3 linked regions of the Astyanax mexicanus genome follow. The protein of the gene in region 2 interacts with the protein of the main gene of each other region in a pairwise test. Links are inferred from orthologs where the notes say so. Each region holds a gene or a part of one and is shown on either strand. Other genes may lie near its edges.

What was found.
Region 1: the proteins of fip1l1b (region 2) and cpsf4 interact in binary tests that used the Homo sapiens proteins (3 or more experiments, as listed by UniProt). The two-hybrid records come from large-scale screens. The link is inferred for Astyanax mexicanus from reciprocal best matches to the Homo sapiens genes FIP1L1 and CPSF4.
Region 3: the proteins of fip1l1b (region 2) and prmt2 interact in a two-hybrid assay, tested with the Homo sapiens proteins (2 studies listed by BioGRID and IntAct). The link is inferred for Astyanax mexicanus from reciprocal best matches to the Homo sapiens genes FIP1L1 and PRMT2.

The regions. Positions count from the first base shown.
Region 1 is NC_064410.1:54,223,783-54,231,011, reverse strand, and holds the start of cpsf4 (cleavage and polyadenylation specificity factor subunit 4), read right to left. Parts: upstream 3,055-7,229; 5' UTR 2,505-3,054; coding exon 2,402-2,504; intron 916-2,401; coding exon 865-915; intron 782-864; coding exon 629-781; intron 234-628; coding exon 138-233; intron 1-137. Other genes in the region: protein BUD31 homolog, read right to left, coding at 4,332-4,382, 4,546-4,712, 6,096-6,218, 7,225-7,229. UniProt on the Homo sapiens protein: Component of the cleavage and polyadenylation specificity factor (CPSF) complex that play a key role in pre-mRNA 3'-end formation, recognizing the AAUAAA signal sequence and interacting with poly(A) polymerase and other factors to bring about cleavage and poly(A) addition.
Region 2 is NC_064432.1:5,939,740-5,947,634, forward strand, and holds the start of fip1l1b (pre-mRNA 3'-end-processing factor FIP1), read right to left. Parts: upstream 3,023-7,895; 5' UTR 2,834-3,022; coding exon 2,749-2,833; intron 1,422-2,748; coding exon 1,358-1,421; intron 657-1,357; coding exon 596-656; intron 418-595; coding exon 311-417; intron 79-310; coding exon 14-78; intron 1-13. Other genes in the region: tspan5b (tetraspanin-5), read left to right, coding at 4,600-4,680, 5,481-5,531, 5,875-6,021, 7,353-7,523.
Region 3 is NC_064418.1:45,908,530-45,915,878, reverse strand, and holds the start of prmt2 (protein arginine N-methyltransferase 2), read right to left. Parts: upstream 3,091-7,349; 5' UTR 2,957-3,090; coding exon 2,870-2,956; intron 1,414-2,869; coding exon 1,237-1,413; intron 601-1,236; coding exon 439-600; intron 35-438; coding exon 1-34. UniProt on the Homo sapiens protein: Arginine methyltransferase that methylates the guanidino nitrogens of arginyl residues in proteins such as STAT3, FBL, histone H4. Acts as a coactivator (with NCOA2) of the androgen receptor (AR)-mediated transactivation.

The sequences.
Region 1 (7,229 bases), on a different chromosome or scaffold from region 2:
GACATTAACATACAACATAGATTGGCATTAAGACACAAGATAAATCATCTGTGATTGAGAAGGAGAATCACAAACTGTGCCAAACACTGAACCTCCGGGACCCCCTGATGTATGTCCACTAGAGTACACAGACTTACCATGTTTGCAGAATCCCCGATCATACCATGGACAGTCTTTAATCTTAGATTCTGGGTCAATGTGCAAGAAGGGGCATTCTTTATTACTGCACTCACCTGTCAAATATAAATAACACATTTCAAAACAATAACAAATCACATAAGCTAAAACATATATCCATAAAAGCCCAGATTAAATCTGTATCATAGCCTCATCATCATACTTTCTTATAAACAGACTGCTTTTAAAGCTTTTAAATGACAGTAGTATTTAGGTGTAGATTCTATAACAGTAAAAGCTGCTATAGCTATAGAGTATATAGGTGCAGAGTTTATAAAAGTAAAAGCTGCTATAGCTGTAGAGTATATAGGTGTAGAGTATATAACAGTAAAACATGCTAAAGCTGTCGGGTATATAGGTGTAGAGTGTATAACAGTATAAATGTGCTACAACAAAAAAACAATTTGTGAGTACATTTTCAAGTAACCATATGTTAAGATTTTTTTTTTACCAAATTTGGAGTAGAAATAGCACTCTGGCATCTTCGTCATGTCATACTCATGTAAAAATTCACACTGGTCCCCTTTCTTGCATAAACCTCGCAGCCAGTGTTTACACACAACTGTCTTTTCTCCACTGATGTGCCGAAAAGGACACATTCCACCTGCAAAAGTAACACAGATTAATTATGTCCAAGCTGCCCCAAAAAAGCTTTTGGGTTATTTTTATAAATAAACTACCACTTACCTTTCAGACAAGCAGCTTTCATGAAAAATTCACACACAGCGGCACCGGACTCTGTACAGAGAAACACAGAGTTACAGTAGAACAAAACTATATACACAATCAGACAGGTAGACAGAGAGGTAAACCAATAAAACTGGTTTGGCTGTGGAGTATAAAATACACATACATAAATCTGTAGAGTACATATTTGGGCAAAGTATATAGCTATTAATCCTACTATAGTTTTGCAGTATATTGCTTCACAGACTGCTTTAGCTGCAGTGTATATTACTGTAAAATATACAAGTATGAAACCGGCTATAGCTGTAGAGTAAATAGCTGGTGGGTATATATAATCCTCTATCTGTATCTTAGAGTAAATTTGCTAAACTGTAGAATATATATGAGTAAATCTACTAAAGCTGTAGTGTACATAAGAGTAAAATCTTTTATAGCTGTAAATGGAGCACGTAAAGGACAGGAGTATATATGTGTAAAGTATATAACAGTATAATGTGCTATAGCTGTAGAGAGAAAGCAGGTAAAGGACAGGAGTATATAGCTATACAGTATATAACCATAAAAGCTGCTATAACTGTTTGGTATACAGCTGTAGAGAGGGAGCAGGTAAAGGACAGATGAGTTCACTGTATATGTGTAGAGTATATAACAGTTAAAGCTGCTCTAGCTGTAGAATATTTAGATGTAGAGAGGGAGCATTTAAATGACAGGAGTATATAGGTGTAGATTCTATAACAGTAAAAGCTGCTATAGCTATAGAGTATATAGGTGTAGAGTACATAAAAGTAAAAGCTGCTATAGCTGTAGAATATATAAAAGTAAAAGCTGCTATAGCTGTAGAGTATATAGGTGTAGAGTATATAACAGTAAAATGTGCTAAAGCTGTCGGGTATATAGTTGTAGAGGGCAAGCAGGTTAGGGACTGGAGTATATAACTTTAGGTGTAGAGTGTATAACAGTATAAATGTGCTATAGCTGTAAAATATATAAAAGTAAAAGATGCTATAGCTGTAGAGTATATAGGTGTAGAGTATATAACAGTAAAATGTGCTAAAACTGTTGGGTATATAGCTGTAGAAGGCAAGCAGGTAAGGGCCTGGAGTCTATAACAGTATAAATGTGCTACAGCTGTAGAGTATATAGGTGTAGAATATATATAACAGTATAATGTGCTATAGCTGCAGATTATATAGGTGTAGAATATATATATAACAGTATAATGTGCTATAGCTGTAGAGTATATAGGTGTAGAATATATATAACAGTATAATGCGCTATAGCTGTAGAGTATATAGGTGTAGAATATATATAACAGTATAATGTGCTATAGCTGCAGATTATATAGGTGTAGAATATATATATAACAGTATAATGTGCTATAGCTGTAGAGTATATAGGTGTAGAATATATATAACAGTATAATGCGCTATAGCTGTAGAGTATATAGCTGTGGAGGGGGAGCAGGTAAATGACAGGGGTTGAACTTGAGTTATCAGGTGAACTGAGCGTTGTTGTTTAACTGGCTCAGTGAACTTACTGTCCATCCCTGGAAACGGTAAGGGCTGAGCGCCGAGCTGCTGCTCCACAGCGATCTCCAGATCAAACTTGAGGTGATCAACGTTGGCGATTAATTCCTGCATGTTTAATCTCTTTTCTTGTGCTTTTTAACAAACTTACAGCACTTACAGTCTCCCCCATACACAGCCCTGCAGCTCCTGCTAACTGGCTAAACGCTACACGTAGCTTGCTAGGCAAAAACCTACCAAATTTAACAACAAGGCTGTGTGATATAGGAGTTAAACCAAAGCCACCAAGCGCTACAACATGTAAAAACTCCTAAATCCTCCTTCAGGAGCAGCAGTTTAATAAACCATAGCGATTATCTATCAGAATATTCCGCTAACTAATAAACACAGCAGCGCCCCTCGCTCCGCTCCCTCCGCGCACACTCACAGCCCCGCTCCTCCGCCAGGCCGCTCAATCAACCCCAGCACAACCCAGAGAACCGGGTCGCCAACAACCGCACTTCTATAAGATTTTATCAACAAAAAAACAATTTACAGTGTATTTAAGAGGGTCTTGATTTGCTAATATAAATCATGTATATGCTGGGATACCATACAGTCGCAATATAGCCCAACCAAATACTCTGTTATTGATTAAACAGTCCAATGAACGCTTTTAACGGAAGCAGCAGTAACAGACGTAGGGTCTGTCCTAAACCGCACACAGCTGCACTACATAGCCTATATAAGTAGTGCACCACCCCTAGAAGTGCACCGACTAGTATAGAACATTAAGCAGCTTAGAGAATCTTAAGAGAGTGTGGTTTGGGACGGACCCCAAGATCCACGTTGTTTAAACCAAAGCAGCACAAAAGTCTTTTTCCAAAAAAGCGATTTGACCTTATAAACCACGTTTTTAGTTAAGTAAGTAAAATAAAGAAAATATTAATGAATTAAAAAATCGTTAGCTATATATATACTATTCTTTTATGTCTAAATTTTTATATTGCTGTACTTGTAGCTTTGGGAAGAAGAGTAATGTATTTCAATCCTCTGTATGTTCTGTACATGTGCAGTATTGACAATAAAACTGAATTGAAAATAGATTTCTTTATATTTTATATTTTTAAAAGGAAAATAATCTGCTACTGCTGCTTTGACATACTACAAAACATTAAATGTTGCCTGTGCAAAAAGTAAATGGTAAATGTGTTTAATATGTTAAAATCAAATAGAAAATAACGTTAATTCCTGTGCTTTAAAATTTTTACTTTTAAAAAAACATCATATTGTGTCCTTTTGCATTTTGATTCTTTAGGAATACATTCATGCTGGGGATCTCCTGTTTTACCAAACACAGAGATGCTGATGGATTCCAATCAGATGACCAGCAAAAATAAATTTAACCCCCACTAGAGAGCCACATAACAACACAGAACGTATTGTCTTGTCCACTAAACCAGTTAGAAAGACTTTTCCTTATGGCATGGTTCATCATTATGCTGGAAGTAGTTATAATAAGATGGAAAATTATGAATTTATATAAATTTTTTTCTAAACTTTAATCTTCATGCTGACATTTTAAAAAAGACAGTTCCTATAGAAGTTAATTAATGTATTTTGTATTCATGTTTCATTGTACTGATGACTGGTAAATAGTTAAATGTTCATGTAATTGACAATTCAACAGTATATGTAATTCTTTATAAAATGTTACAAAAAAAGCACAAACATTTACAACAAGGATTTTATTTTACAAAATGAACAAAGTAAAGAGCACATTTTAAAGGTTTTTGAAGGTAATTTGAATAAAAATGACATTTTCACAAAATACACAAATGATGAACATTTCTACATTCACTTACAGACAATCCGGAATGAAAGCAAGCAGACACTTTTAAAATCAAAGAAATCAAAATGTTTTGAGCCCCAACATCCCAGAAATGAAATACAAGCCCTTGATTATCCGGAGCATCCTCTGCACCCACAGTGAGTGCACTCAATGATCCGACCCTGTTTGGAATAAATTGAGAAATCTATTAGACTATTAGAAATGGGCTGTAGGCTTTATTAAACATGATGTTGGTTTATAATAGTAAAAGGGATATTAATGACATGAAAACTAAAATCAGCAGCTCATTAAAAGCAACATCAAAATTGTACCGTACTAACTTACCACTTCGAGTTTTCCTTTAGGAACTCGACATATGCAGTTTGTGCCGAAGTTGGTGTCACGTGTCTGAATGCAGCGAAGGCAGCAGAGGTTTTCGTAGCCCTGTTTCTTCCACTTTGCTATGAGGTTTTTGTCGGCGTATCCCTCTCTTATGCAGTATTCATACAGCTCTGGGCACACAATACAGAAACACTTTTACTTCAACATCAATATATAACCTTTTAGTGTACTGCTAATCATACGTTTTTTTTATCTGCACTATTGACACTTTACTGTACACCTGCACTCCTGAACACTAGCCACTTTACAATATATGCATATTTTTATCCAGTATTCCCTTTATCTGCCGATACCTAGACCTCTTGCACATTGTTTTACTTATCACTGCAGTGTCTGTTTAGTTCCAGTAAGATTCGAATGCATATTTTAACATATTTTCTATTTATTGTCTACACGTGTATATTTGGAGGCAGTATTTTTCTTGTTTATATTCCCGCACTGTTCATAATAAGCTAATAATTGTAATTTGTAATTTGTTCGTGCCTTATTGCAACAAGTGAGATGTATAGCTATACCATCTAGAGCTAATAATTGTACTCATTTTGTTATACTGCACCACCCTTATTGTTGTGTGCCGTTTTGTGTCAATGGTACTGGCTGCTACATTTATTTCAGGATCAATAAAGTATCTATGCATGTATCTATGTATGTACATTGCTGGTCAAATCAGTTCAGTCAAATAGTCAAAATCAATTCAGGATTTTTTCATTATTTAAAAATGTTCTGCATTGTAGATTAATTCTAAAGTCATCCAAACTATAAAGAAAAACATGAAAGATTTGGTACACTAAAGTGTTAAACAAACCAGAATATGTTTTATATTTTAGATTCTTCAAAGTACCACCTTGTTTAAATGACCGATTTACACATCTTTGTTGGATTTTCTCTTTATGAGGTAGAGTCACCTGGGACGGCTTTCAGTTAACAGCTGTGCTGAACTTAAAAGTTAATTACTTGAATTAATGTGTTTGAAAGCATCAGTTGTAAAGTTGTGAAGAGGTAGAGTTGATAAACAGTGAATAGCGCTATTTGAGTAATGTTCTAATCCATCCTATGGCAAGAAATACTCAACTAGGCAAAGAAAAAAACACTTTTAGAAATCAAAGTCACTGATTTTTTTACTTTGAAAGTATCACCAGTGCAGTTGCAAAGACCACCAAAAATATCATGATAAAATTGTATTTTGGTTCATTGTTTTTTTTTTTTTTAAACACTTACGTCTACCATATGATTCCTTGTGTGTTCCTTCCTTTGGATGACTTCGGTATTAATTTACAATGTAAGCAAAATAATAATAAATCAATAAATTAAATAAAAACATTGAATGAGAGGGTATGCACATATTATTTATCTATTGTCTATGAAGAGGTTTGCTACTGTTAACTGTAATACCAGACTGTTATTAACTAGTGACACAAAGGAAAGTATCATAATATCATTATAATTATACCGGGACTATAAATTGGTAAACTGGATATCTATACTGAACTCACCTCTACTGATGGCCTTTCTTTTGTAGAACAGGTCGAAGATATAGCGGCTCCGCTGGTGGTGAAGTCTGAAAATCGGCCACAGAGACTCCACTTTACGTTTTCCCTCATGAGGCTCAGTTTCAGCTGTGGATTGAAGGCAAAATGTTTAGCAGCATGTTCAGGATGAATTGAAGGCAGTAACCTAAAATGAGGGAACAAGAGATTAACAGATAACCCCACCCCCCCCCCCCCCCTTTCTGTATTCGATTTATTTATTTTTTCCTTTGCACCTAAAGTGACATCATGCAAAAAAGAATAAAGCATGGCCACAACTTTTTAAGATGTGGGAATGAGAGCCTGAAGCATGACCACAACTTTGGTGTGAGAATAAGATAAAATGAGATGAAAATGCTCCACATGGTTTTTTCATATATATATATATATATATATATATATATATATATATATATATATATATACACATATATATATATACACATATATATATATATATATATATATATATATATATATATATATATATATATATATATTACATTATGTCACCATAAGTGCCCAGAACCATCACCAGAATCATTTTCCTTTACTTGCAGTTCTTTAGCCCTTTCGGACCTGAATTATCTCCAGTGATGGAAAAAAAATATATAAGAATGCTGTAATACACAGAAAAGAAAGCTCTAATATTTTACAATAGAAGCTGCATAGCAAATAAATTCAATTAACTAAAATCTAAAACGTGTGTAACATTTATTTTTTTATTTCATAAACCAAAAAGAACATGGTTAAATATTGGTGTAAATCACATCAAATTACTAAAAACTAGCTGTTACTTTCACTCATTGGCTTTAGAACCACTGTTTTTCTAGTCTGCAGTGGATGGGGCCAAGCTACTGTTTCATTGCTTTATAATCTCGTTCATGGTCTATTCTGAAGGACAACAATGGATATAGGGTCTGAAAGGGTTGAATATCGCCGATTGTATGTAACATTATCTATAAACGTTCTTTAAACAGTAGTTAAACAAAGACAAAGTTAAGAAGTTAAACAAACAAACCCCGAACAGCAGCAGTAGTAGTACAGTTAGCTTTAGCTTGTTGGCTAAAAATACTGGCGTCGGGTCTGAACTCACCTTCC
Region 2 (7,895 bases):
TTACAGATTGTACCTGCTCCATACGGCCTGCTGCCACCAGACTTTATGTTCAGATTGACCGGTGTTGCCCCGTATGTCCTGAAAAAGACACCACAGCTTTAAATACAGCACTTATTACAGCATTACTACAAAAACATCCAATCAAAAGAGCAAAAAACATAATGAAATTACTGCAATAACTGAAAAAGTAACTTTTCAATTAAATTATTTTTTTTTTTAGATGCACCTGTCCAACTCCATACAATGGAGTATGTTGGTCTTCTCCCAGATGACAGGTTCTCTACAGTAACACAGAACACATCATACTCACGTGTACTGCGGTGCGCCTGTCTTGATGTCACCGATGGTAACACGGACGTCATCGTCGTCATCATCACTGTCACTTTCACTATCCTCATCGTCTCCAGGAGCTTCCTCCTAAAAAAAGCCACAGAACTGATCATTTACACACCAGTACCTACACAAAACTGACTACTACATGTATGACATGGCAACCGCATCAATCGTATAGCTATGACTCTATTCTAAATACTGTAATTGTATGAGTGGTAACTCAGTCCCTAAGTTTATTATAATAACTTAAATGTACTCTTACCTGACTAGCCACTCCATTGCCGGCAGGGACTTCCTCAGTAACAGGAGCGGCAGGTGGAGCACTGTAAAAAGTAGATGATCATTTAGTGCTGGGCGGTATAAGCAGAAATTAGGAGTACATATAATATAGAAGAATAATGCTTTAAATTTTCATAAACTCTTTAAATGGTCTTAAAATGCTCAAAATGTAAGTAATCAAAGAGATATTTCTCAAAAGCTCTATTGCACAAGTAAAACACAAATTTAATATCAATGTACTATGTGTTATTCTTGAAGCCATTAGAGGCATTACAGTATTAATAGTGAATATTTGCTGTAGTTTTTTAATTTTACTCAGATTAAACACCCATACAGTGAGAAACAGCAGCAGGTGCTCCTTAGATAAAGTGCTGTTCTCATTTTTCTCTGGGCAGGACGGAGCTACTATTACTCAAGTGTGTTAAGTTGTTGTCCTAACTGGCTAGCGTTAGGTAGCTAGCTGTATCTGCTTCTTTGGTGGTGGTGCTGCTCTACACAGCGATTCTCTAGCGGTCTGGCGGTACATAAAAAAATCCATACCGGTTTTAATTTCTGGTACGCGTTTTAATTGACCGGTATACCGCCCAGCACTACTATCATTGATACAAATCAAACTACTCCAGATCCACCAAGTACAAACTACAACAGTTATAGTGTAACCAGAATCAAACTAGACCAGTTTCAATGTGAACAGAATCAAACTAGACCAGTTACAGTGTGAACAGATCTAATGTATGTATAATACCTGATTGCTGCGGTCAGTTTGGCCGCCACCTCCTCCTCCTCATTTTCTTTGGTTTCTCCTTCATCTGGATAAACACCAACAAGTCAATATTAAACAGTACATTTTTATATATAACATGATTTTATGCTTTTAAGAAGGTATAAATGCAAACTAACTTAAATTACAATATACAGTAATATTTCTGTAGAATAACGTCTAGAAGTCATAATTAACCCAGAACCCAGAACTCTGTTTAGTTTTGCAATACTGAGACACAACTGTATTTGATCAAATACAAAAAAAACAACAGTTCTAGTGTAAATACTTAAGCAAGGTCTATTTGTTTTGTTTTATATCCATATATTTTCTTTCTAGAGAAATTAAGTATTTCTTCCAGAAAATGTTTATTTTCATTCATGTGCATTGGAACAAAAGTAAAAATTAATTAAATATTACAAAACTTCAAGAATATTCAGGACTATTTGGCTACCACTCTCACCTACTGTGAGGAGTGAGTGTTTGAGTGTTTGTTAGGAGGGAGTGTAAGTGAGTGGATAAGTGTTCGTGCAGAGTGAGTGTTTGTGAGTAGAGTGAGTGAGTGTGAGTAGAGTGAGTGTTTGTGAGTAGAGTGAGTGTTTGTGAGTAGAGTGAGTGTTTGTGAGTAGAGTGAGTGTTTGTGAGTAGAGTGAGTGTTTGTGAGTAGAGTGAGTGTTTGTGAGTAGAGTGAGTGTTCCTGCAGAGTGTCCGTACAGAGTGAGTGTTAGTGAGTAGAGTGAGTGTCCGTGCAAAGCGAGTGTATGTGCAGAGTCAGCCAGTGTGATGAGTGAGTGTTTGAATGTTAGAAGGGAGTGCTAGTAAGGGAGTGCTAGTGAGTGAGTGTTACTTAGGAGGGAGTGCTTTGGAGGGAGTGTTATTGAGTTTTAGGGAGTGAATAAGTGTTAGTGAGGAATGAGTGTTATGGAGTGAATAAGTTTTAGTGAGGAGTGAGTGCTTTGGAGTGTTATGGAGTAAGTGTTACTGAGTGTTAGGGAGTGAATAAGTATTAGTGAGGAAGGAGTGTTTGAATATTAGGGAGAGAGTGTTATGGAGCGAATATGTGCTAGTGGGGAGTACGTTTTTGGAGTGTTATGGAGTGAGTGTTACTGAGTGTTAGGGAGTGAATAAGTGTTAGTGAGGACGGAGTGTGAGAGGATGGTGTGGCTGAATGTTAGGAGGGAGTGTTTATGAGGTGTGAATGAATGTTACGGAGTGAGTGTTTGAATGTTATGGAGTGAGTGTTTGAATGTTATGGAGTGTTCAGGAGTGAGTGTTGAGGAGAGAGTGTTATGGCGTGTTGAGGAGTAAGTGTTTTAATATTATGGGGTGTTTTGGAGTGTTCAGTAGTCAGTGTTGGTGTTCAGTATTGAGCTCACCTCCGTACAGCCATTCCTCCTCCTCGTCCCCCGCCGCCGCGCTCACCTCCTGCCCGGCCGCTTTCTCCGCCTCTTCCGCGGACATCTCAGCTCTGCTCAACCCGCCGAACCGCCCAGACCGCGCAGCCTCACCCGAACACCTCAACCACACTGGAACCGGATCAGAGAAGACCAGAAACCGGATTGGAGGAGGCCAAAACCGGATTAAACGGGGGAACCGATCCGTCTTACCCCGCACACTAACCGGAGGAAGACTGCTGCCCTTTGAATACGCAACTTCCGCTCTGTGTGACATAATAAAAGTCCATTTGCTAAAAACAATCGATGCTTCTTTGTTTTGTTTTTTTTTCATGCCTCTATTTATTACATTAATATTAGATTGGGGAGTGAAAAAATATAATAAATGGCACTAATGTTTTTTTTCTATTATCATTCCTGCAGAGCCACAAATATTAGGTTTAAAAACCGTGACTGATTGTAAAGCTCCATAATTACGTTTAAGGGAACTGTTGAGTACATTATCCGAATCATTTTTGTACCAAATACTATCCAACAAATCTAAACAGAAACAGTAATAGACCAATTTTGCGAATCATATATCCAACAACATAAAAAACAAAAAAATAAATAAAAACAAAATAAAAAATTGTGGGATTTAAACTAAATTTAAAAGCTTCAATGGATTTATGACTTCTTATTTTTTATTCGTTTTATTTTTTAATTATTTAAATTTACGATATGTATATAACTATATAGACCCAAATAAACAAATGCTTGGAATGAAGGTATTTTGGGGCAATTTCAATTTGTGCGTATCTTATTTACCTAAGATTATAACCAAATGTATTATAAATCTCTCCTTGTGGTCAAATAGGGGTTATCAAAAATATACAATATACAGATGTCTCAAGTCTCATGAAAGTCGGAAAAAATAAGAGATGGACAAAATAATGAAAAAGGTTCAGTTCTTTCAAACCTTAAATAATAATGCAAAGAAAATAATCATCATCTTCATAACGATTTAAGAGTTCAGAAATCAATATTTGGTGGAATAACCCTGGTTTTTAATCACCAGTTTTTATGCTTCTTGGAATGTTCTCCTCCACCAGTCTTACACACTGCTTTTGGATAGTTTTAGGCCACTCCTGGTGCAAAAATTCAAGCAGTTCAGCTTGGTTTGATGGCTTGTGATCATCCATCTTCCTCTTGATTATATTCCAGAGGATTTCAATTTGGTAAAATCAAAGATATTTTCATATTTTTTAAGCGGTCTCTTATTTTTTGCAGAGCAATAGCCAAATTATAAAGTTCTGTTATCCTTTGGTGTGTGCGTGAGTTCTTTTTTTTTAGACAGGGGAGGGGGTGATTTAAGTCCAGGTCGAGGATAACCTCTCTGAAATTAATTTTTGTAAATTGGGTCACTTCTATATTGTAATGTATTGTAATGTGATTTGATGTAAATATCCTCGCTTAGAGCGAACCCAGAGCTTGTACTCGACTTTTATTTTGAAATAAGTTTATTTAAGGAATGGAGCTGGGCGGAAGTGATCTGATCTGTCGCTAAGTGGTTGTGGTAGGGAGCGCCGCTCCGTTGTTGTGGTGTTGAGCTGGGTTGAGCTCGTGTCTCTAGACACGGGTGTATTTCGTTTCTCGGAGGGTTTATTTTGTTAAATAGCGCCTGCGGGGCGTTTAGAGGCGCAGACTTTAATCCGGCGCGATGGTGGCGGCGCTGAGCAGCGGGTGAGCGGCGGACAGGAGGCGGTGGGTGAGCGGAGGAGCGGCGACGGAGCGGCGACGGAGCGGCGGCTCGGCTCCAGCGGATCTCTCGGAGAGACGCAGCGCGCGGTAAAGATGTCCGGGAAGCACTTTAACGTGCACGAGGTCGGGTGCTGCATTAAATACTTCATCTTCGGGTTCAACATCATCTTCTGGGTGAGAGAGCGGCGCGCGGTGTTACTGTCTCCCCCCCCCCCGCGCGCACTGTCAGTCTGTCAGCCCGGTCCCTCAGCTCCAGAGCTCGCAGAGCTCCCGGGTTCATCGGGTCCAGGGCTTCAGTCAGAATGAGGATCTGGATCTGGTTTTAGCTTAAAATCACACAAATACTTACAAAATTCACAAACCAGACAATCTCTAACTCTGTCTTTACTGAAACAAACTCAGATATGTTAAAATGCCATGTTTAAAATGCAGTTTTAAATCTTTGCCCCCTACAGATTTTTTTTACATACCAATTTTTTTTTTTCAGATTATCAAACAAACTTTAATATCAGACAAAAAAATGAGCAAATATAAAATTGGCTGACTTAAAACATTTCTACAAAGTTAATATGTCCTTTGCACAGTGTAAATATTAATACAATTATTAACATTTTTTTCAGTGTAATAATAGCAGTAATAACTGTTATTTGTATTGGTGACTAATTATAATAACAACATGATTTATTTTTTATTAGCTTAGATTAGCGCTATTTTGCAACGTTATTATTATTATCATTATTATTATGATAATATTCTTTATAATTTATCATATATGCATGTTACTGTACATATTTGAAGTATATAAATATATATATTTATATACTTCAAATATGTAGTATATGTAGTTAACTATTTTATATATATATATATATATATATATATATATATATATATATATATATATATATATATAAAATAAATCATTTGCAATGTGTTTGTTCACTCATTATAACTGATGCTGAATCTCTCCTCAGCTGCTGGGGGTGGCGTTCTTGTCCGTGGCTTTATGGGCATGGAGCGAAAAGGTACACACACACACACAGACACACACACACACATAGACACACAGTATTACACACAGAGTGATCTATTTTAAGCGTTTATTTATTTTATTGTTGATGATTATGGCTTACAGTCAATGAAAACCCAAAAATCCAATAACAATAAGACCAATTGTTATTTTTGGCAGTGTGCCAAGTCCTGCTGGAAAATGAAAACCACATCTCCTTAAAAGTTGTCTGCAGAGGGCAGTTCATATGAGTGAGGAGAGGGTTAATTGGCTTTCAATATTGGGCAGAAAATGAGACAAAATGACTCTCTCACCTCACTCGTTCTCTCTCTCGCTCTCTTTTTCTCTCTTTCTCTCAGGGAGTTCTCTCGAACATCTCCTCCATCACTGATCTGGGAGGGTTCGACCCTGTCTGGCTGTTTCTGGTGGTTGGAGGGGTGATGTTTGTGTTGGGGTTCGCCGGCTGCATCGGAGCGCTGCGGGAAAACTCCTTCCTGCTCAAGTTTGTGAGTCTGTTTCCTGTGTTTTTGTGTACAGTGGACAATACAAATGTAGAATTTCAGGACATTTGCCAGAGAACAAATAGGCAGACCCCTGGACATAATAAACAATCAATTTTAGGACTGTTGGAGAATATTTTACTTATCTTTTTTATCCTGGTTTAGGGGTGAACAATGCAATATTATCACGGTATATTTTCCACGATAACGAAGATTTCACAATACTGTGATTCTCAGTATATTTAAAGACAATTCTCTATGATATTTCACAACATCTTTTGGTGTCGGTTTCATAAAATTTAGCAACCAATATTCCTTACTGCAGGTTTAGACTATTCGTTTGATCTTAGCGCCACCACATGGAGTAATATGTAGTTTGACTTTACTAAGTCAAACTAGCGGACTAGTCTTAGGAAGTTTAAAGGGCCTATGTTTCAATACAAATATCGGTATTTGATGCCACATATTGATCATATCAATAATGAACCTGCATATCGCAATACCATTGTATTCGTTAGAGAGGATTTTGGAGGAGTCTGTCCAATTTAAATATTATTTCGGATCACCTATTAATCTGGACAGACTACTCCAAAATCCTTCTTCGAATGTTGAAACTGGGGGAAACGCCAAAGTGAACAAAACTGTAATTTTTATAAAAAAAAAAAAAAAAGACTTTTCGTTTGAAGTCAAACGAGTGCTGGATGTTAATCTATACAGATTTCTTTCCTTAAAGCTGTTTATTTGGGTGAGTAAAGCGTTTCCGTTTATTAACAGTAAGTTTAGACTTTCAAAATTAGTATAAGGGAGAGTTTTCAGTGAAGCTTCTCCAGCACTAAGGCTGGGTGCAGCGGCACTAGCGTTAGCCGCTAACCGCAGTGCTAGCAGGTTTTAAATACTGCCGGTTCGTCCCACATAGCTTGTTTTAACATGGCAAACACGCAGACTACACTCCAATATACTCGCCTCTGAACTGCGAAAGAGCTAGCACTGCGGTTTAGCGGCTAATGCTAAAGCTGCTGCACTCAGCCTTAGTGCTGGAGAAACTTTATACTCTGAGAAACTATGTGCTCTGTGCTTATAACGCTGCACTTCAGCAGAGGTGCTTTACTGCTCCTTAATACCTAAATAGTAAAATGTATACATAAGGTGCACCGGATTATAAGGCACACTGTCCATTAGATTTTTTGGGAAAATAAAAGGAATTTAAGTGAGCCTTATAGTGCGAAAAATATGGCAAACCTAAGCAAAAGTTTTTCATAGGGTTTACTGGCTTTTCATGACTGTTATTCAGATTCTTTCCTTCATTTTCTTAACATTTTTTTCTTCGCCTCCTCCAGTTTTCCGTATTCCTGGGGATAATATTTTTCCTGGAGCTGACCACTGGAGTTCTGGCCTTCGTCTTTAAAGACTGGATCAAGGACCAGCTCAAGTTCTTCATCAACAACAACATCAGAGCCTACAGAGATGACATCGACCTGCAGAACCTCATAGATTTTACACAGGAATACGTAAGAATATGCTTATTCATGGGGCATATTTTTGTTATTAGGGATGCACAGAACATTCACCAATCAAATTTGTTCGGCCAAAAATGGCAAAATAAATGTACCAAATAGTTTTTACTATACAAATTATGTTTAGTGGAGAAATCAGAAGGAAATACATTTAGTTTTGTTATTTATGCAATGCTAAAAAAAGTGGTAAAATTAATGAAGAGCTGCTAAAAGAAAAAAAATATTACTAATTATAATGGGATTACATGGGATTACATTGCACTGCTATTACATATAAATACTGTCAATCATCCCAATCGATGATACAAAACCTCATATCTCCAAAGCAGCAAGTTGATAGGAGAAGGAACTCTTATGTCTTTGTAA
Region 3 (7,349 bases), on a different chromosome or scaffold from region 2:
GTTCAGCCACCGCACTCGCCTCCACTGCATATACCTACAGACAACACACAGGGTATACGTTTCAGGGTATATATATGAATATATATTATTATTATTATTATATTATATATTATTCTCTTATAATTATTATCTATTGTGTTTATCATAAAAGTGATGATAAAACTGTGATCAGACAGAGGAAAAATAATATAATGGGCTTTTTGTTTTGTTTTGTTTTGCTACGTTTATGGACGATCACAAGCAATCAAACCAAACTGAACTGCTTAATTTTTTGCACCAGGAATAAAGGCAAGTTATCCAAAAGCAGTGTGTAAGACTGGTGGAGGAGAACATGCCAAGATGCATGAAAACTGTGAATAAAAACAGTTTATTATTCCACCAAATATTGATTTCTGATAACGTTCCTGTGTGTTAATGTCCTGCTGTGTACGTATTTACCGCTGCAGGTTCTGCTAGACGCCCACAGAACAGACTGATGATGCCGGTGCCGCAGCCCAGATCCATCACCACTTTCCCCCTCAGGGCGGTGCTGTTGCTCAGGATGACCTGCCGGTACGTCTCTGTACGTGGTCTGTCCGACAGCATCTCCAGGTGAAGTTTCTATAGACACAAAACAGGGAGGCAGAATTGGCCGAAAACACAGATAACGTTCAGAGGAAGTCTGGAGAGCTCTGTGGAGACGATTCTTTAACATTCCTGGATTGTACAATTCAGTTTATGACACTTTCACCTTTAGGACGAATTTTTGTCCTAAAAAACGTTGTTTTTGTGAAATTTTTACATTCTTCTTTATTTTAAAGAAATTTCTCAGTTTTAAAGTTCCTTCAGATTGAGCGTTTTACCAAATTTAAGGTTGTTCTTAAAGTGTCATTGTAAAAGAAGAATAAATAAATAATCGAGGACATACAAAGAATAACCATATACAGTAACAGTCGGAAATTAGGGCACTGGCTAAAATAAAATATATATATCTTAAGTATCAGCAGCATGTACGCAAATGATTCCTTTATGTGTGATTTAATGTACATCTTTATAAAATAGACTGCAATGAGTTTCCTACAGTTAAATTCAAGTCGGTGGAGAAGATCATGTGTGCTTTTCTCGTAAATACGATATTTCCAACACAACTTTAAGGCAGCCATATTGTTTAATGGTAAAATGATTTCTTACCAAACTATCACTTTAATACCAAACACCATAATAAAACAGGACACTCCCCAAAAGTCAAACACTTACCAAAGTTCCATAACTTCCAAAATACTCCTCATCCTGCCAGCCGTCCTCCACCTCAGCATCCGGGTGGTGCAGGTAGCCGGAGGGTACATACCCATAACGGCCCTCCACCTCCGCCCACCACCAATCAGCACAGCTCTGATCATGGATCAGGATCCGGTCTCCAACTGCAAAACTGAGCTGTGAGGAGATCCAGAGTCAGAGTAACACTTTCACACATTCAGAACACCTAAAATTAGTAGTTGAGCACACCCATATGAAGTGTTGTCTAAATACCTTTGGAAATATTGGGGTAGATTTTTTAAGGTGGAAGAGTCTCAAATATTTAGTTAATGTGAAAAAGCTTCAGACGTAAACATTAGCTAGATATTAAAGGGGGAACAGCCTAGATTAAGCATTAATTAGTTAGTGTGGAAAAGCTTCAGATATAAATATTGTATAGATATTTAAGGTGGAACAGTATACATAAAAGTCTATTATTTAGTGTGGAAACGCTTCAGATATAAATATTGTGTCGATATTTAAGGTGGAACAGTATACATAAAAGTCTATTATTTAGTGTGGAAACGCTTCAGATATAAATATTATATAGATATTTAAGGTGGAACAGTCTGAGATATATTAAAATTCGCTAGATATTTAAGGTGGAGGCGTCACAAAATATTCAGATATAAATATTATATAGATACTTCAGGTGGAACCGTTTATATATAAACGTTAATTACTGTGCAAAAGCTTCAGATGTAAATGGTAAATAGATATTTAAGGTGGAACAGTCAGGATATAAGCATTAATTAGTGTGGAAAATCCACAGATGTAAATATTATATAGATATTTATGGTAGAACAGTCTGAGTTATAAACATTCGCTAGATATTTAAGGTGGAAGCCTCACAAAAGATTCAGATATAAATATTATTTAGATATTTAAGGTGAAACAGTCTCAAACTGTGGAACAGTCTAAGACATATAGCGTCATTTAGGGTGGAACAGTCTCAGATATAAACATTATTTAAAGTGGGAAAGCTTCAGATATAAACATTAGTTAAGGTGGAAAAGCTTCTGATATAAACATTAGTTACATTTTAAGGTGGAACAGTTTCGTATAAAACAATTTAGTTAGTCAGTTAAGGTGGAAAAGCTCCAGATGTAAACATTAATTAGATTTTTAAGGTGGAACAGTTTCAGATATAAACGTTAGTAAGTTAAGGTGGAAAAGGTTACCAGATTGAACTGAACCCCTCCATGGAAACTGCCCCATAACTATTTAAGGGGGAACAGTCTCAGATTAAAAAACATCAGTTAAGGTGGAAAAGCTTCAGATTAGCTAGCTAAACATAGCTAGATATTTAACGCGAAAGAGAAACGCGAAACGCTAAGACAGATTTTATTACAGCCTCAATTACAATCAATAGTTATATTTAAGGTGGAACAGTCTCACATAAAAAAACATTAACTAGTTATTTAAGGTGGAAAAGGACCAGATATAAACATTAGGGAACATTTTCCCAGACTACTTTGAACCCCTCTCTGGAAAACTGTCCCTATAACTAACTATTTAAGGTGGAACAGGCTGAGACGCAACATTAGCTAGCGTTAGATATTTAAGGTGGAATTGTGAGGCTGGTGTAACAGACCTGCTCTGCTCCGCTGCCGGTAAAGTCCTCTAACGCTATAAACTCCTCCGGCTCCGGGTTACTCTCTCCGCTTTCATCCCCATTCATTTCCAACAGACAGACAGACAGACAGATAGACAGACAAAAAAGCAGACAGACAGACAGACCGACAAACAAACAAATTAAACCTCTCTCTCCCCAAACAGAGGGGAAACCGAAACCGGAAGCGGAGCTGAACCGGACACGCGCGCTCTTTACTCCCCCCTACAGGCAGGCAGCGGAACTGCAGCACCCAGAATAAACATATTAAATTAAATATTTTCATTTAATTCTATATTTTAGATTAATATTAAAGACATGAAAACAATTAAGAGACACATATTAAACTACGTAGTAAACAGTAAAAATGTGTTTAGTCCTCCACATTAATTTTGCATGTTCCTGTATAGCTTTAATATAGTCTTTAATATTAAAATTACAATGTAAAAAATAATTTAAACAAACCCTAAGAAAACACATTGAATGAGAAAAGGTGTGTAAAAAACTTATGTATAGCTAGTCTGATTGTCATGTAACAAATAGTTTTAAGGCTGTAATGGTTTTTAGTGGGACAAATCATTTTGCTGTTCATATTTTAGTTTTAGTTTGTTGTTGTTTGCTGAACACAAACATTTTGATATTTGAAGTGTTTTTATTTTAAACATATAATAAAATAAAAATAAAATCATAATAGTGATCGTATCATATGATATACATGTCAGACTGTATAACAGGTGCTGCGCTCAGTAAACAGCAGTTCACTATTTGCACTTTTTCTTACTATGTGCAATAAAACTGTTTAATTACCATGTGCAATAGCTAAATTCACCAATAATATGTGCAATACCACCAATTATGTACTATTTATTTGCCATTTATTTATGTCAGCCTGTGTACAATAACTGTGATCACTGGTTATTGTAGAATATACACACTGGAGAACCAGATTTTAGATATATATATATTTTTCAGTATAGTTATGTTTTCTTGTATTTTTGTGTGTTATACTGTTGTATTTTTTCTGACACCTCTGTTCTGTCCTTTGCACTGCTGTAATGTTGCAAATTTCCCCGCTGTGGGATGAATAAAGAATCTTTTCTTATCTTATAAGATGAAGGGTGAAGGTTAGTCATGATTCAGCAGAGCTGCAAGAGGTGTTTACGTGTTTTATATGTGTTAAGTGCCTTACAATATATTTCCACAATATAATATGTTTAATCTATATTTTAATAAATAAATAGCAGATATGTTACTTTTATTTGCAAGAAAAATGCACTTACCCTTGTAAAAGAAAAGTGCATTTTAAGTTGGTATTTTTTTAAAGTATGGTTAACATGGAAAAGTACTTAAATACATACTAATTGTACTTACGGCAACTTAAGTATATGTTAGTTGTAATTAAGCTATATTTAAATACAACATAAAAGCTTCTACAAACTTAAGAAGATTTAAGTAACGCAGTGTTTAATCGGTTTTTAATGTCACTACATATATTTGCTTAAAATACATTTATGGAAATACAGTGAAAGTATATTTAAAATGTATTTTCATGAAGTATATTACATAAATTCTGAATGGGTGGACAGACTTGATAACAAACTCAATGACACACAAACAAACAACCCTTAAAATATTACAACTAAATTTTATTTTTTCACTGAACAGAGATCCGTCACAACTCAACAGGTTCTGAAAATATATTCTTCAAAAAAAAAAAAAAAAATGTTAAAGATTAGAAAATACCACTAGATCAATTTAAAAGAATATGGAGTTTTTTATAGTTTATTATGTTCAATTGTCAATTAAATGAATAATCGGTATTTTACCTGAATCAATTAGCAATTTAGCATAATCAATATATTATCCAGTATTTATCCAGTATTAGCATGATCTCTGGTTCCTTTTCTTTGGGTGATTCATATTTAACCATGGGTAAGAATCCATCTGCGCTAATAACATAAATATATATATATATATATATATATATATATATATATATATATATATATATATATATATATATATATATATATATATACTGTATATATATATACACACATAGACTTCGCATAGCCTGCCCAATGGCGCTGGCTGCTATGCTATGTGGAGTCTATGTATATCTATGTTTATCAGTACAGTGATGGAGGCGCTCAGAGCTAAAAGCTTTATAAAAGTTTTTAATTAGCTTCTTGTGCACTTTTTAAGTTATTAATGTCTCGTTTCAAATGTCAGGGCTCTCTGGATTCTAGCAAGGAGGTGTGGAGCTACTTTGAGCTGGATAACGGTGTAAAAAGCGAGTTATCGGGGCAAATTATGCCCCTGATCACCCAGTCTAAAGGGTGTTTGGACAAACTGTTAAAATTTCTGGATCTCAGAACGCTGTGGGAGAACGGAGGTGTGCTATTCATCAAAGATAAGTACTTTTTATCATGTTTTACTACAACAAAATTCTATTTTACACCAGAGTTCTCCTTTAAGGCCTTTTCAGTGGAATCAGTATAGTTTCTGTATATTAAATCAGTGATTTGTTGTCTATTGGAGATGTGTGTGAGTTCCAGAGTGCTGTCTGTGCAAGTTTAATGGACAAAAACACACAGAGCCGGTTTTAATTTTAAAACAGGCTGCTGTAAGAGGGTAAGGCGACCTAGAAGCTTAACTCTCACACGTGTTTAGTAGAACTGTGTGCTGAGATCTGATAGATTTGGTATAAAACACTGAGCAGAAGACAGTAGTCAAGGTTGAACTCTGGAGCTTCTCTTTGAAAACTTTTGAACTTTGATTTATTTTTCCCTTTTATTTTTTATTATCTATTGCATCCCATAAAATTACTTAAACAAACTGGCAAAGCTATTTTAGGACTGGAACTCATTTTCTTTATGTAGTATCACACACGATACACATAAACCAATCACAAACAGACAAAAAAATGTTCAAATTACTAGGGCTGGACCCGAATATTCGGGTATTCGGATATTCGTTCGTTGAGTAGGTATTCGGTTTTTAATTTTGGTATTCGGATATTCGTTTTTTTTCTCCTTTCCAGAGTTCCACCTCACTCTAACCACTTCTGTTTTCGCGGGTCCCGTCAGAATATCTTGCGCGCGGGACAGAGCTGAACTGTTATTGGCTGGAGCGGGGGTTTAATCCAGACGATGCGGGAGCAAATTAATAAATAGTTAAGAAAACTGTAATAATTGTAAAAAAAAAAAAAAAACCTAAAGAAAACTCTCAACGCGCAGGATGGACCGACACACACACGCACACACCGATGGTGTTTGGACTGGGGTAAGGAACGGGACCACACTATTCAGCGCTGCTGTTTTAATAAATATATAAGTAGATTTGAAGCATTAAATGTAGTTTATTTAATTTATATTAGGAACGTGGGGCGGGAGCGGCAGAAATGTGTATGTGGCGGGCGGGCGCGGGATTAAAAGAAGCAATTTTTTTGCGGAGCGGTAACGAGACAGAAACGCGGGAGCGTGGAAGAGTGGGTTTAAAAATCAGTCTCGCGCAGACCTCTATTATACATGATAAAAAAAAATGCAGGCTCTTCGAAACTGATTTATATAATAAAACGTAAGAGGTAATGTGGCAACAGTAGGGGCTAAATCGGTTACAAAAGCCTGGCCTACAAAAATGATGTCTGAACGAATTTCCTCTTATCTAATATAATTTAAAATGGTTTAAAAATATAAAATAATTTCTAAGCAAACGAAATATTTAATATTGAGCTTATAGCCCAAGTGCAAAAATACAAAATCAGTAATACGGCTATGCCCTGCACAATGCTTAAACCGAAATAGACCAAGTACAATAACGTCATTAACAATGACTTTCCTCTACTCTAATATAATTTAACATGGTTTAAAAATATAAAATAATTTCTAAACAAACAAAATATTTAATATTGAGCTTATAGCCCAAGTGCAAAAATACAAAATCAGTAATATGCCCTGCACAATCCTTTAACCGAAATAGACCAAGTACAGTTTACAATGACTGTCCTCTAATATAATTAACAATGTTTAAGAATATAAAATACTTCCTGAACAAACGTTTTTTTTGTTTGTTTTTTTAAGCAAATAGCCTAAGTGTGAAAACACAAACAGCAATTTACTGGGCTGGCTTGCGCAGCGGAGAAACCGTGCAGCAGCAGCCTCCTAGCCTGCTTACGCAGCGGATAAGCCGCGGTGTGGGGCAGCAGAAATTCCGGGATGAAAACACAATGAAATCTGGGCTAAAAACACAGAAAAAATATGGGGTGAAAACACAAAAATATGGGGGATAAAAACACCAAAAATCCGGGGTCTCGTCGGTCAGAGCAAATTGAACATTTTTCAGTGGATTAAAGGGGCCGTGATTTGCTTTTTTTTTATTTATTTGTTTTACCTCTTTTTTTAAAAACGAATATTCGAATATTCGCTTCGAATCAGTGCCGAATATCCGGAGCTCAAAAAAC